Linked DNA regions of Drosophila melanogaster. The protein of the gene in region 1 interacts with the protein of each later gene in a pairwise test. Each region holds a gene or a part of one and is shown in the gene's direction. Other genes may lie near its edges.

Region 1 (11,192 bases):
TATGAATGTTGGAATATTTTTTGTACACAATATTTGTATGTAGCATTGGGGCAACGAGCGCCGCTTTTTTACGACGACCGTGAGCCGGAAGTGCTAGCGAAAACTGTCGCACCAGCGATGCCAGTGGGCACATGGCACATGGCATTTTCGATCTCCCTCGGCGGCGCCAGTTGCATTCGGAATGGATCAGTGGACGGGTGTGCACCGGGCGTTCGTCATACGCGCCTACTACAAGAGCAATGACTCCATCAGCACCGCCCAGCGGCTCTTCAAGAAGCAGTTCAGCATTTACCAAACGCCGCCGACGAATGTCATCAAGTCATGGCTGAGACACTTCGAGAGCACAGGATCCTCGCAAGGAGGTTGTGGAGGATATGCACGATCCTCGCTGCCTGTAAGTGAAGTATTCAGACCCAGTAAGGGGAATAGAGATGAACTGTAACGCTCCAAAAGTATAAAGTTGTAGGCTATACTTTTTTTTTAATGATTTGTTCTATAAATATTGAATTCAAGTCTTTAACTGTAAATGATTCGGACTATTAATTAAAGATTCTCTGATAAATCTATAAGAACTTTAAAGACGTGGTGCATATAGTTCGACTTCATTCAGCAAGTAAAAAGAAAGGAACGCTCGGTACATCTTACTAGCAAATGGAATACCTTATGTGGTCTAGCCCCTACTAGTTATTTAATTTTATAATTTCTTTGGTCAAATTTGTTTCCCATTAAAAGGCAATTTGTATCATTCCAGCAAATCTTCTGTACCATTTGCAATCAGTGCCTGAGTAATGAGAAGAACTTTAGCAGCTCCGTGAAGTGAATATGCACATGGGGCATAAGTTAATCTGTTTATCGTAAATAAGTTAGTGTGTATGGTTCGCAAATAAATTTCTTGGCTAATTAACAAGCTTGCCAAATCAACACATCTGCCCGCTGGCTGGCTGTCTTGACCCACTTGCTCGTTTGCATTTCTGAAAAATGTATACGCAAAAACCAAAATCAGAAATTCTTTTGAGCAAGTGTGTCATGAAATTGCCATTCGTTTCTGCTCTATATACCTGGGCAGCAGATAAAACAAATATTTTCCAAGTATACCAACCGACGGGGGTGTACACATCACGTCAACGCCGCAAATTGGTAAGTAATCCAGCCAGATTAAATCGAAATTCATTGCCATTCCCGCCACAATTCTCCCGATCCATTAGGTTCGTTCCGCTGCAAATTTTTCAGGCTCTAATATGTCACCTTGGTCACAGCTGAAACCGATGGAGTGGTGTAAGGCCGTTTACAGGGACTATCATTCCTGGTCATTCGTCAAGTGTTCCCTGGCATTCTGTGCCGGTGTCCTCCTGGTCCGAAGCCTCGATGGAAAGTTGCCGGCCAGCAGCTAGAAACCCGAAATTTAGACCTATAACTAATTGAATATAGGATCATATTGCCAGTCATCTAACCAAATTGTCGTCGACGAAGGAGCGAAAGAAATCAGGATGACTCAAACGCTTTAAATTTAGCTGGTATATTCGTTTACTTGTTGACTTAAATAAAACAACAAAAATTAAGTTCACAAGTTTATAGTTTTTTAAAAATTTGACCAAAAACAAATCATGGCAGCTGGAATCTAAAATAAATATGAAATCGACGAGCGTCGTACACTGTGCCAAATTTCCATTGATTGGCATGCAATTTTAAATTAACTTTAAGAATACTTTCCATTTTTTTTTATAATAAACAAGCCTTTGCTTCATGGACTTTAGCTCATCCTTAGTGGCCTTTGTGACTTTCATTTGGTTTATGACACAACTCAAGTCCTTGCGACCAATCAAAGTCTGAGTTGTCAGCTTTTGGCAAAAAGTAAATCTCATATTAGCCATTTTCCGGATGCCATGTTTACTCCGGCACCTTGCTGAAAATGTCCACTTTGGGGGAATATCATCGAGCTGTCATGTTACTTTGAGTAAAAAACCATGTGTGAGGCCTGTTGACAGGCAAGTTGGAGCCGGATGATTCCACAAAATGATACATACGCCCATCCTACTTAGAGATTACAATCGGAAAATGCGCATAAGGTTTTACATTCTGCCCGTTTTTGGCATTAGTTTGAGATATGTGTGTCGGGAAGGCATCCGGCCCCGCGGCAAAGAAAATAAAATTAGGCGTCGCTTTTTGCCATAAACATAAAAATTGTTCCTGCATCCTCAGGAAGCTGTCTTACCAGGGGGCAGAACATCCATAGCCACCAGCGATTCCTTGGTATCATAATTTCGAAATGACAGGTAATTTGGGAGCAGCAAAAGGAACAGGAAGTGGAAGTGGCATCTCGATGGTTCTGGGGCAGGGGATCGTGCGAAGTGCGAGCACCAAATGGGAAAATGATGCGGGTTTATTAAGTATCGTTACTCAAGAGGAAAACCTGCCCAGATACCCCGAACCAAATCCCTCTCAACAAATTTATGATGCGCCATTTTCAAAAAAGTACCTGTACCCCCTTTAAAAAAAAAATGCAGAAAAATGTATATTGTAAATATACTCGAGATGTAATAGTGGGGGGTGCCACGTTACTTACCTTCTTCAACTGGCAGCCACCTAGTGATTTAAGCTCGGCAAAAAATGCTGCCGCACATGAACATGCAACTAATGAGCTGAGTTATTTCCAGTGGGCTGGTGGGGCAGAAGTTACCAGGTTTCTGGAACACGCCACGGGAGCTCAGCTCTTCCGGTGCGGGTGGTTTAAACTCTAATTGAAATTTAGATAGCTGCTACGTGTGCCAGCCGGAAAATCATCGCCAGGTGTCACGGTAGGTGATGAGTTAAACAGCCGGAATGGCGAAATGCGTGCGGAAATTGGCCCCGGAATGCCAAAGGATCAAGTGTCGACACCAAAAGAATTTCCAGGTCAAAACGCTGGGCTGGAGATGGAATGCAATTAAGACAAAGCTCTGAAATTTATTATACGTCTTTAAAAACAGTCAATCTTAAACTGTAATGAAATTAAAGGTACAATGCATCTTAATAACAACCCATGTTAGAAATGTTAGAATTGCTTCTCTTATCAGAGTCCCGAAAATATGAGTTTAATGTGCTTTATTTAAGGAAAAACTAGCGTTTAGCTTGGTAGCTTATATTTGTGTTATTGAAGTAATTACAATATCAAGATGATTTCAGTTCACTAACAAGTATGTATGAAGGAATTATCTGGCATTTCTGAGGCCATATTTCATTATGGAGAGCCCTGCAGCTCGTTTAAGATTTGGCTATTAAAAACGGCGCCATTGATGCGAATATTTATTGTGGCCTGGCTTTTTCATAATGTTGGATTATCTAGGCACATGTCCTGCCAGGATTTATGAGCCAGGAATAGCACACAAGAGGTTGAGAGCGACGCTGCGGGAGGGTTGGCCAAAACCAAAACCAAGAGTCAGCTTTAAGCCGTAAGGAAATTGAAATCTTAAGCTTTATTGTTTTACTGGCCCCTCGTCTTTGCCATTCAGCTGAGGATCTGTGTGTGCTCGACGCGACGCATGCAAAGTGAAGCAGGAAAGTGAATAAAACTGCAGCAAAAGCAATTTTCATAAATATTTAATGGATAATGGCGAAAATAAGCGCAAGGAGCAAGACACATCGGCATGATGAGAGGGCAGGGAAATGGCCGTCCGTCTGCTTCTACCCATTCCCACTACCATTTTCCGCACCATCTCCGTTCTCGATGTATTGTTTTGTTTGTGTAGATATATATGTGCCCCTCTCATACAGGCACTTCACCCACCAACCCACCGTATTGATATGTCAGCATAACATATGTGGGCATTTCCCCGAGTGTGTGTTCGGCAATCTCAGCTTTTAGTTTCGGCCCAAGGCCCAGTGATTCTCATTAAAATTACAACACAAATAAAACGAAGAGGGAAGGTGGATGAGTGGTATCGACTTTTTTGCTTACCTTGTGATTTATTGGCTTACAAGAATTGCTTAAAAGTTGATCATTTTTTTTAAATTTTGTCGATTTGTGTTTTATAAACTACAAAAATTAGTTAGGAAAATAAGTGAAATGCCATAATGATTTACAAAATAATTGAAATATTATTTCCGGAAATCGGCATAACCAAAATGTTAGATACTCCTTTTGCCTGCCGATTACAGCGTATGAAAAGCCGGCGAAATGAGGGTAAAATTCACGCGAAATGGAGCAGCCAGCGAACGTGAGAGCCCGTCCATTGTCTTTATCCTGGCGCTTTTCTGCTCTCTGTTGCTCCTCCTGGTCGCTGGAGTCCTTTAAGTGTGCCCATTACAGACGGCAGAAATCATAACAATAAAAGTGTGACGGGACGGAAGGACAGAGGCGGTTGGCGGCTGGCGGATGGGCGACGGGCTGTTTGGGGGCCAGATAGCTCCCCCCACTTAATCGATGATGATGAATAATTGATTCGCTGCGATGCGCCCAAGCATGGAAATGAAAATGTCGGTGCATGCGGGGAGCGGCTTTCTGCTTCTGTTTCTGTTTAAGTTTCGGTTTCAGTGCTTCCCTTTTCGCACGTGTGTGTATGTGTGCCTGTCTGTGTATGTGTGTCGGCGTGTCCTTCTGTGTGTAACGAATGGCAAATTTCAGGAAGCGGAAATGGCAATTGCAAGCGATGGGAAAAGGCAGCAGAAAGACAACGACTGAGGCAAATGTGAAGTTGTGCGCTAAATGAAATGCCAACACAGCAACACGGCCGTGCAAAACGGAAATAGCAAATGCGAATGACGCTGGATCGTTGGACGGTTGGCTGGCTGGATGGCCGAAAAATGGTGTTGGGCGGGGGTCTTGGGATGACAATGGGTGTCCTGGGCAGAATGGGCAGACAGGTGCCAAGGCAGACAATTTGCCGGTATTTAAATTCTATTTTAAGTTCTGTTCAAGCGCGTCAGGAAGCAAACGTAAGGAAATGGTTGACCGTGAATGGTGGACACGTTTCCCACTAATATGGCTGGAAAGCTTAAGGCTTCCTTTTATATATATGATACATATTATTTAAAATATAACCATAGATTTTATAAAATATTATAAATATTTTATTAACACTCATAATATAAATTGCTTAGTTTTGTTTACTCGCCACACTCATTGATGTAACAAAAATGACAAGTAATTTTGAAGTCATTTCATTTTTCATTTGCTTGGGATTAACATTTTTCTTAAAGGACTTTGAGCGTGCATAAAAAATTATCTTTAGCACCATAAAGAACTATATTCACTGCAATTTAAAATGAAAATAAATCTGATCGGGTTAAATGAAAATCGACTCCAAAAGAAAAAATCCTATTTCATCAAGGAATATTCTCTTATTTTTTCTTTTGAATAAAGTTTCCTTTTCCATTTGACTCTTCACCGTCGTTCAGTCAGGGCTTTTTTTCCCCAGGCTACGTGTTTAAAAATATAATCGTATTGAATATTTAAATGCTCGCCAGGGCAAAAGTCGCCAAATACGCTGGCAAAACTGGACGGGAATCAAAATCAAATGCAATGCCTGCGGCTTCGGCGAATGCTGGCTGCCTGTCAGCCTGGCACAAAATTAGATTTAAATATTTTGGCATTTCCCATCAATTTTCATATAATGCAACCCCATCCTTTTCGCTGGGATGCAGGTCCTGTTGCATGGAGGAATGCTGATAGTGAGTGGGATTCGTCTGTGGCAAGTCATTCCAGCCCTACACAAGCGCACACATCGATGTGGATTGAAAGACAGGCGCACACAACCACACATGCTCAATCATTTATGCAGCAATCAGTGCTGACGTCTTTTCCACACGTACGATTACCGGCATAGAGAATCGAGCCCTACTCTCGGTTATGTGGAGCATATTGGGAATCGAAATTGAGTGCGGGTTAACAATGAGGCAGTTGAGATTGCGGCAGCTTCTCTCGAACTTCTGTTGCTCGTGAGTTTCTTGAATTTAAATCAATGGCCCGGGCATCCACTGCGTATGAGTAATATTATACAAGGATGAACAGGTAATTTAATTTAGCTTTTCGGAACAATTTTTTGTTCACAGAATGCAATCAAAACATGTATGAGATAATATACATTTAAACAATCGTTGTCGAATTATTTATTTTATCATGATCCCTACTTTTTTATAAATTGACAATCATTTAAGTAAACAATCCTTTCAGCAAAACAGAAATAACTCCTTTTTCAAGGTGCAACCGTGAAGGACGACTGCACAAAAACTCTATTGGATTATTTGAAGGTTGAAATCAAATTAAGTCAAGTGAATAAATTGACTTTTAGTGCATATAAAAATCGCAAAAAGCGCAAATAAAAATGAAATAAAATTGCGATGGATAAAAAGTTTAAAAGTGAATCCATAGAAATTCATCGTTTGCTGATGACGAAACATGAAAAAAGGAAACTTAAAATTGGTTATATATACGAAATTAACAAGGGAAATTAAACGATCACATAGCAAAGCATTTTTTTGGAAAGTAGTCATTGCATATATTGCTTTCTGAGAAACTTCGTATAAATTTAAATTATTAAAATAAACCGCTAGAAAAATAAGTTAAAATTTGATATCAATTAGAATGGATAACGACAATATGCTCGACTTTACAGACTTAATCAGCTGCAAGGACTTACCGAACATAACTCTGCACAATATCCGTCCCATTTACAGTATAAAGGTTTTCATGTCCGAACCTAAAAACTCCAATGTCTCTATTGCTGAATTAATCAAACGCCAGGAAGTGTCTGCAGAGCAATGTCGCAAGGCACTTAAAGTCATAAAGGACAGACTTCTTCTGAAAATGGCAGCGTTGCAAGAGCTTAAGAAGTATCTGCTGGATTTGCATTCGGAGATCAAAAAGCCCGGTGCAGGGACTCGTTTTGTGACCAATCAGGAGAAAGTTAAATTGCATTTCCTAGACGAGACGGAAATCAGAGAAGTCGAATTGTCTGACGCCGTAGAACGTTGCAATATAAAGCTGAGCTCGCTTTATTGCGAAATCCTGGCTTTGGACAGCGACATGGGCAGTGTCGCCTATTTGGAGAGGGTCGCCCAGATCAACAAAGACTTTATCATGGATTGGCATAAGACTCAGAGGCAGAATAAGACAAGCAACATCCATTGTTCCGGCCAAGGCGTCAAAAAGACTTTTTAATTTGGACTGTTTTAAACTTTACATGTTTCACTCATATGCAATTATTATCGCACTATTCTGGAAAATAAATATTTATCGCGAAAGCAAATACAAAATGTTTTATTACACCTCTCCGAGATTGAATAGTTGAATTTCCAGCAATGAAATTAGCCTTAAGTAATGTGCTCCTCTCTTAAATCCTATCCCTAGGAATCTTTTTTCCCCCTCGACTTTTCCTGCTTCGTGTCCTTCCGTTTCCCTTTTCTCCGTTTACCTGTCACTGACAGCCCGCTGGCCGCTTCATCTTCATTCCCCGTCCATGAATAATCCCTGCGACACTTGCGTTTCATGGCTTTGCATAGTTAGGACCTGTTAAAGGAGGGACCTGGTCCTGGACAGTGTGCTCAGGCATCTCCTCTCTTAGCCAGCGCTTAGCTGGACCTGGGGAGTTGAATCTGTAGCTGCACAGCAAAAAAAATTTTAAAGGTTTCAAAAAGATCTCAAAAAAATGTCCCAAGAGTTTTAAACTCTATATAGAATAGTCTTGAGTTACGTGTCCCGTTCAGGTAGTATTTTTAATACCATTTGCTGGCAAGTTACTAATATTTTCTCTGAGTGTTCAGTTAGCTGGGAACCGGAGCAGGAAGCCAACAACAGGTTGCGTGCCAATGCAGTTTTTCATCGTGAAATGTCGGCGCTGATAGCGATTGTAATTATTATGCTGAACTGCGGGTATGTATGTATGTATGCAAGGGGATTCGCTTTTACGAGAGGCAGAATGGTTCTATTTCAGGTCCTGGCCACTCTTACTTGTTTCCCATTCTTTTTCCGTCTTGTTGCTATCCACTCTCCGACGCATAAACACCGCTAGTTATGCAATAAATAAAATGCAATTGTTGCGTCACAAAAGCTACATAGATGGCAGTGCGTTGGTCAGAAGGGGGGATTGGCTTTTTGGCTCTGGGCTTTTGCCGCCATGTTTGCGAACAACAGCAAGATGGCGCCCCGCATCCGTTATAGCCGAACATCCAATTCCGCGCTCACTTTCGCTGCCTCAGTTGCTGGGCGTCTGCTTCACTTCCGGTTGGAAAAGTTGTTGCATTGTGTGCGTTTTCGTGGAGGTTCCACATCCGCTTTACCAGCTCTCCCAGCTACTCTAGCTTACTTGGCACCGCTTTAATTTGACAAACCATCGCATTTAACGGCCCGGCGTAGTTTATGCTCCTCGAACAGGCAGCGACATCAAGGCGAAAGGTCAAGGAGGTGGCATAAATAATGCAGCGAACAACGAAAACGACAAAGTTGCCAAAGACTTGGACTAACCGGCTGCTGTTGCTGCTGTTTCTGGCCAAAACTCACTTGGCCAGCATAGAAATTGCAGTTTACAGTTGCTAATTGAGTGTGCCTAGTCTGTGCAGGTGGCCTAATGTTGGTAATTAGTGTGAGCCAACTTTGCCAAAAAGATTCCGGCACAAAGTTGCCCAGGATGGGCTTTTGTCAATTGCATAAGTTGCCGTCGTGTCCGGAAAATCTATGTATGAGATTGGATAACAATGAATTATATTTAGCAAACGAATTTCAATTAAAAAAAACACCTTAATTGAGAATGATTCCAGTCTTAGTATAATTTGCTAGGTGGTAAAGGCACCGCTTGAATTTAAGTTACATATTGACTATATTATTATTTTACTCACCCTGATTAGCGTTAAACACCAAAGTGGTTCACATTTTAGCACACTATTATCCTTAGCAATATGATTTAGTGCTTTGTGGAATCTGCTGAATATACATGGAATGACTTTCAGGTGGAGCACATTAAAGCCCATACAGTGATATGCACTCTTGGCTAACTGAAATAGCATGTATAGGCCTTGCTGTGCATTCGGTTTAAACTCGATTAAAGCCACGCACAACGACATCGGAATAATGCAATTGTTTCGGGTATATAGCTGACCAGTTTATGGGCAATCCGAGAGATTTCGAGCGTCTGCAGGCAGGACCAAGCGATCCAGGACACGTGTGCGTGCTTTGTCTGGCCAGAGAGGACAACGAGGAGAGGTTGCCACATGTGGCAAATTAACTTTAAATTAAGCAATTAATTTAATTAGAGCACGGCGAGTGCACAGTGCGACCCCAAAGATTTGCCGCACACGCAACAGTTGCAATTAAGCAGCCTTCGCACACAGATGTCCCCACACAAATACAGGCGTAGTCACAGTAGTGCACACCCCCACTCACAGATACACATATTAACGTAAAACAATGCCGTTTCAGCTGCAATTGCATTTTAAGCGCATGCGGAAATTACAAACTCAAATTGATAAAGCAAAACCTGTGCACATGTGTGGCCCTGGCATATGGCATATGGCAGTAATAAAAATCTGGTTATATAAGGTGAAAAATTGGCTTACGCCTGGGACTCCAGCATGGCCAAAGAAATCCGAGTGCCAGCACATATGAAATCGGAATGCAATTCATTTCTCCATTAACCAATTAAACGCAATTCATCAACTGACGTTCGCAATTTGCAAAAAAATAAAGAAATAACAAAACTATTAATAAGGGATGTAAAAACTTTTACAATTTTAAATTTCCACTGACAGTCAACATTGAAAGGGTTTTTCAGTCAAACGGAAATTTGTTTTCAATTAAGAGTTGATTTAAATTTAACTGCCTTTTCATGACGAACGCATGAAAAATCAGTTATAAATACCTTCTACGGTAATATGCAGACGTTAAACAAATGTATGCTAAAACTTTTAATTTAAAACACCATAAGCTTCTTAACTTTCCTTTGCTTGCCAAATTCTCAACGAAAATCACAAGTCTTACTTTAATGAATATTCTTGCACTATTAAGTTCAAACAAAAGTGAGTAAACTCTTTAATTTACTGGCTTTCAGTCAATGTATTTCACGCCAATGGCTAAGATCCAATTAGTGGCACTTAAACTCTATGTCTGAGTTAAACTATATGGTAGTTAAAACTGTTAAGTCATCAAGCACTTTCTGCGGCATTTGCGGCTGCCAAAAAAGGAAAATTCATCCCCATCAGCATGCTGTACAGCTTTCTGCTATCGAAGAGAATGAGAGATACGGATAGTAAAAAGTTAGACGATTGGTAAGCGGCTTAGTGGTCATTTTGTATACATTTAGACTTACTAGATCGAGTCGGTGCACTTGCCCTGGGCATCTCGCACCTGATGATTTCGGCAGCGAGCGGGTTTCTTGGTAGCCGGCACCGAAGATCGTTGAACTTTCACCTTGAAAATGGGCGAGTTGTGACCTTTGGGCGGCGTGTACTCAATGTTCTCGCGCAAAGTGGGTGGCGTAATTAAAGCAGTTGGTGCCGCTGCAGCCATACTGGGTATATCCTTGGATCGAGCATGAAGTGGGTGGTGCAAGGGCTTCGTTAGACCGCCGATTGGCGTCTCTACAATCATCAGATTGTTTAGTCTGGACTTGGGCTTCGTTATACCACTGGCCGCAATGTCAGCCAACAGATTTAAGCTTGTATTCAGCTGCGTGGCTTCGGTAGTAGGAGCCACTGTAGATACAGTGCTCTCTGGCAGGGTGGCCGATGTGGTGCTCGTTGTTGTGGTGCTACTGGTCCCTGTAGTTAGCTTGATCGGTTTGACGGTCAACGCACTGTCATCATAGTAGTAATCCTCCTCATCGTTATACGTCTCCTAATTGAGAGATCGAAGATGTTATTTTTAGCTCGCTGGCAACTCGTTAGCTGCATATCGGTTAACTGGTTTTCGGGCCCCCACTCACCTCGGCCAGTCCATTCTGGCCCACCTCGATGATGGCCACATCCTTGATGCTAACGTGGATGTTGAATCTGCCAGTCTGTCGCTGATCGAAAACCACTCGCCCTGAATCCGGCATTTCGCTGGTCGTCGGCGTTTCGGCCTCCTCGATGGGCAGCGTTTGGGCCAGGCCAAAAGCCATCAGCGTAAGTGATATCAGCAGCATTTTCAAATTGAAACCAGTTCTAAGGGCGCACGTCAAGAAACTCTGCTGAAAGAACGTCCGTTCTTCTTGAAGCCGCGATCACAACTGATTTGGTCGCTGGGT
Region 2 (5,299 bases), on another chromosome or scaffold:
GTAATTTCCTATTCCTGTCCTGCAGGGTGCGCACCTGTTCCTTAAGCCGCTGGATCTCGGCTGCATTGGCCATTGAACCAGCTAGTGACTCCTCACAGGGAATGGCACCCAAGCCTGCGGCTCCAACAGCGCTAATTAAGGAACTGCTCATCTTGCCGCCCGACAATAGCTCTACACGCAGCTTTTGGATGACGTCCTTCAGCATATTAACCTCCGCCGCATGCGGATCGAGATTGACCACTGGCTTGTTTTTGATTTGCAGTGCTCGATCCGCATAGCGTAGGGTGCTCAATGTCTCGGCCACGTTGTAGTCGGCGGGACTGACGCAAGCAATCATCAGCGTAATGGAATTACCGCCCAGGGAGTCCTGCAGCAGACGCGTCAGCTTGGACTGGCGATAGGGTATGTAGCCAGCGGCCTGGCCAGCTGCAATTTATATGGAATATATAAAAATGGAGATCAATTTTCAAGCCAGTGGCTAAATGATAGATACTCACATCCCAGGGCATTGATCACGTTGCCCAGGGCCAGAAGACCCTTATTGATGTTCACACCCTCTTTGAACCGATCGCCGCTGGCTAGGGTCTTTGAGCAGCGTTCAGAACCAGCCAGATCCACCAGGTTGAACCTGGACGTGGTAACGGATTGCCTATCGGAGATTGGAGGTCAAATGTGTATAAGCATTAAGTATTCTAACGAGGTGATGGCGGCCCACAACATACTTGCCGTCCAGCTTGGTGGCTACTAGCGTCAATGTGAATATGGCATGGGATCTTGAAGAGGTTTCATTCATAGCCGTGGCGGCCACAGCCCGTCCGGCTGAGCCGCGGATCAGATGATCGGTCACTTGCTGGGCGGATGTGACCACTAGCTCGGTGAGGCCCGGCATGATAATACGGTTCTTGACCTCCCTGATGTCTACGGTGGCCTTGTCCCGAGTTTTCGACGAAAAAAGGTCATAGAACTGCTCCTGGTAGAGCTCCACAAAAGAGCATGTGACAGCAAAACGAAATTCGCTCTGCATTTCCGCAATGGCTGTGAATATATCATGAACGGCGCGTGGTATAACGCCCACATGGTCATCTAACACTCCGTTGAAGGCGGTGCCCATAGTGTAGGTCTTTCCGGAACCCGTTTGTCCATATGCCAAGATTGTTACGTTATAGCCATTTAACAGCTTTTTCACTTTGGCCTGTACACACGTCTCGAATAGATCCTTTTGCGAGTCGTCAATGTCGAAGACATAGTTGTACGTATACGACTCATTCCGGTTGACTGTAACCTGTGGCGCTCCATCCGCCGATCGTTCGACGGCAATCCGGCAGCCGCGATCCAACTCGGACTGCACCAAGGGGCGCACGCGCAAGGCCACTGCCACACAGCTGGGATCCTCGCTGGACATCTGGGGGTAGGGGGAGGGAAGGACAATCATAACATTCCATCACCTTTACCGCCATCTCGACCAACACCACCAACCACTTACCTTCTCTGGGGCACAGCAAGTCCGACTTTGGTTAACTGATCAACTGGTTAGCACTTACAAAAACTTAGAATTTTGGTTGGTCTAGATTTTGGAGCAACGCGGCTTCTCCACGCGCAGCCCGGCACTCTCAATGAATTCGATTTTTGGATCAAGGAACTAAACTAATGAAACGCGACGCTAAGAAGCAAATGCATTTCTGCCAGTATTTTTAAAAATGGCGTTGTTATCGATTCGTTGCAGATGTCGATTAGTGGCGCGATCGACGGAGGTGCCGGTGTAGAAAGATTTCGATTTTTTTATAATTTGGCTCTTGAATAGCACATTTGCAAAAATGTGGTTGGACGATTTGTGCACGCCGATTTGACAAAATGAATCATTGACAGTGTATCTACATACTTATACATAAAAATAAAAGCTACCTAGATCTACAACTATTTTAGCTACTGCCAGTGATAAGAGCCCAATTCTTGTCAACTAGCCAATTCGCCGATAGCCGATAGCAGACAGCCGCACATATCTATCGCTTTTTTGAACAATCGTTGGTAGCAACAGGGAATTGCAGAAACCAGTTGTCTTGGGTTTCGCAAGAATTGGAAAAGGAGGATCTGGTCAAAGAGCAGGACATGGAGGAAGAGGCGCCGCGGTTCAATGTGCTGGAGGAGGCGTTCAACGGCAATGGGAACGGGTGCGCCAACGTGGAGGCCACCCAATCGGCCATATTAAAAGTGCTGACGCGCGTTAATCGCTTCCAGATGCGCGTCCGCAAGCACATCGAAGACAACTACACGGAGTTTTTGCCCAACAACACGTCGCCGGACATATTTCTGGAGGAGTCGGGGTCCTTGAATCGCGAGATTCACGACATGCTCGAGAACTTGGGTTCCGAGGGACTGGACGCCTTGGACGAGGCGAATGTCAAGATGGCGGGTAACGGCAGGCAGCTGCGAGAGATCCTTTTGGGTCTGGGTGTCAGCGAGCATGTGCTAAGGATCGACGAGCTGTTCCAGTGCGTGGAGGAGGCCAAGGCCACCAAGGATTACTTGGTGTTACTGGACCTTGTCGGTCGTTTGAGGGCTTTCATCTATGGCGATGATTCCGTTGACGGGGACGCGCAGGTGGCCACGCCAGAGGTTCGACGCATCTTTAAGGCTCTCGAGTGCTACGAGACCATCAAGGTGAAATACCATGTACAGGCATATATGCTGCAGCAGAGCCTCCAGGAGCGCTTCGATCGCCTGGTGCAGCTGCAGTGCAAATCCTTTCCCACATCGCGTTGCGTCACCTTGCAGGTGAGCCGGGATCAAACGCAGCTGCAGGATATTGTGCAGGCTCTCTTCCAGGAGCCCTACAATCCGGCGCGCCTCTGCGAATTCCTGCTGGACAATTGCATAGAACCGGTGATCATGCGCCCAGTGATGGCCGATTACAGCGAAGAAGCCGATGGTGGCACCTACGTTCGATTGTCGCTTTCCTACGCCACCAAGGAGCCCAGCTCAGCGCAGCTTCGCCCGAACTACAAGCAGGTCTTGGAGAACCTCAGGCTGCTGCTGCACACGCTGGCCGGGATCAACTGCAGTGTGTCCAGGGACCAACATGTTTTTGGCATTATTGGCGATCATGTGAAGGATAAAATGCTGAAATTACTGGTGGACGAGTGCCTGATACCAGCTGTGCCCGAAAGCACGGAGGAGTATCAGACATCCACGCTGTGTGAGGATGTCGCCCAGCTGGAGCAGCTGCTTGTAGACTCATTCATCATCAATCCCGAGCAAGATCGAGCCCTAGGGCAGTTTGTAGAGAAGTACGAGACCTACTACCGCAATCGGATGTATCGTCGAGTTCTGGAAACGGCGCGGGAGATCATCCAGCGCGATCTGCAGGACATGGTGCTGGTGGCGCCCAACAACCACTCAGCCGAAGTGGCAAACGATCCCTTCCTCTTCCCACGCTGCATGATCTCGAAAAGTGCTCAGGTAAGTCGTTCGCTAAACGAAACGATTGATTACGCACTAATGGATTCATTTTCGCCGGCAGGACTTTGTCAAACTAATGGACCGCATTCTTCGCCAGCCCACGGATAAACTGGGCGACCAAGAGGCCGATCCCATAGCCGGCGTCATTTCCATCATGCTGCACACCTACATCAATGAGGTGCCCAAGGTGCACCGCAAGCTGCTCGAGAGCATTCCACAGCAGGCCGTCCTGTTCCACAACAATTGTATGTTCTTCACACACTGGGTAGCGCAGCATGCGAACAAGGGCATCGAAAGCTTGGCGGCGCTGGCCAAGACACTGCAGGCCACCGGTCAGCAGCATTTCCGCGTGCAGGTCGACTACCAATCCTCCATCCTGATGGGCATCATGCAGGAGTTCGAGTTCGAGAGCACGCACACGCTGGGCTCTGGTCCACTGAAGCTGGTGCGTCAGTGCCTTCGCCAGCTGGAGCTGCTGAAGAACGTGTGGGCCAATGTGCTCCCGGAGACCGTGTACAATGCAACCTTCTGCGAGCTAATCAACACATTTGTCGCCGAGCTAATCCGTCGAGTGTTCACGCTGCGCGACATTTCCGCACAGATGGCCTGTGAGCTGAGCGATCTCATTGACGTGGTGCTCCAGCGGGCGCCCACGCTTTTCCGCGAACCAAACGAGGTGGTCCAGGTGCTCTCTTGGCTTAAGCTGCAGCAACTGAAGGCCATGCTGAACGCGTCGCTCATGGAGATCACAGAGCTGTGGGGCGACGGCGTCGGCCCGCTGACCGCCAGCTACAAGTCGGATGAGATAAAGCACCTAATCAGGGCGTTGTTCCAGGATACGGATTGGCGGGCCAAGGCCATTACGCAGATTGTATAGGGCGCGTGCGCCTTTTTTGCGAGCGAGGAATGTTGAACGGCGGATAGACATCACATTTGAGGTGGTAAACGGAGTCTAAATTTGATGATCACCATCAATGTGTCCTTACTTTAATTCCTTGAATTGTTTACCACAAATGCCAAAAGTAATAGAATTTGATAATCTTTAATTCTCCGAATGGTTTCTGTTGTACATAGAAAAGTAATTATCCACAAAAATCCATTCCATTCTTCCCGCAACGCAACACAATATTTAACTTAAGACTTATTTAAATGAATAAAAACAACTAAATCCCATTAGTGCGCCTCTTGTCGCGCTTGTAGAACGAGCATGTATAGCTGCTCAGTAAGCAGTCTGTGATCTCGGCCGTGGGTGACGGTTAGGATGCGTTGGGCCTCCTCCAGATGGTGCAGTGCCTCCTTGGAATGGCCCTCGTAGAGCTGAATCTTGCCCAGCTTCATGTGAAGCAGGCCCAATAGCGGATTCCAGGGTCCGTGGTATTTTCGAAAGCCTGGCAGCAAACGTTGCCCGTAATCCAGGGCGTCGCTCCACTTGCCCACTTCGATGGCTGCTTCGAAGGCCGCATCGAGCGTCTTGACGTACCACACATTCAGGGGATGGAACACGCCAGTCTGCTTGTCCAGACACACCTTGCACACATCGAGATCTGTGATCGAGAGAGTGAAAATGTGCTTATTATGGAGCTAATTCCATTTCGTCGCATCTACTCACAGGCCACGTCCTTCATGTTCTCCAGATTGTGCCGGGTCAGAGTCATCGCCTCGTTGAAGGCATTTCTCAACTTGGGACTGATGCCGGCATCGCATCGCGGGCAATTATTGCGGTCCACACTGATTCCCGCACCGCAGTTGCGATTGGGACACAGGGCAGCCAGCATCTCCTTCGATTCCTTGGCATCCGTGCACTTGCTGCACACGCATAGGAAGTAGTAGTGCTCCTTGAGGT

The links. Proteins that work in one complex are often made in the same cells at the same time.
Region 2: the proteins of CG15124 (region 1) and Zw10 interact in a two-hybrid assay, tested with the Drosophila melanogaster proteins (one large-scale study listed by BioGRID).

The regions. Positions count from the first base shown.
Region 1 is NT_033778.4:19,636,479-19,647,670, forward strand, and holds CG15124 (uncharacterized protein), read left to right. Parts: upstream 1-6,468; 5' UTR 6,469-6,559; coding exon 6,560-7,135; 3' UTR 7,136-7,220; downstream 7,221-11,192. Other genes in the region: CG18367 (uncharacterized protein), read left to right, coding at 182-394, 752-820; CG43277 (uncharacterized protein), read left to right, coding at 1,239-1,391; CG15905 (uncharacterized protein), read right to left, coding at 10,111-10,186, 10,275-10,801, 10,890-11,090.
Region 2 is NC_004354.4:2,602,197-2,607,495, forward strand, and holds Zw10 (Zeste-white 10), read left to right. Parts: upstream 1-2,000; 5' UTR 2,001-2,106; coding exon 2,107-3,456; intron 3,457-3,517; coding exon 3,518-4,333; 3' UTR 4,334-4,628; downstream 4,629-5,299. Other genes in the region: Klp3A (Kinesin-like protein at 3A), read right to left, coding at 1-426, 498-649, 723-1,402; Smyd3 (SET and MYND domain containing, class 3), read right to left, coding at 4,630-5,000, 5,066-5,299. UniProt on the Drosophila melanogaster protein: Essential component of the mitotic checkpoint, which prevents cells from prematurely exiting mitosis. Required for the assembly of the dynein-dynactin, Mad2 complexes and spindly/CG15415 onto kinetochores.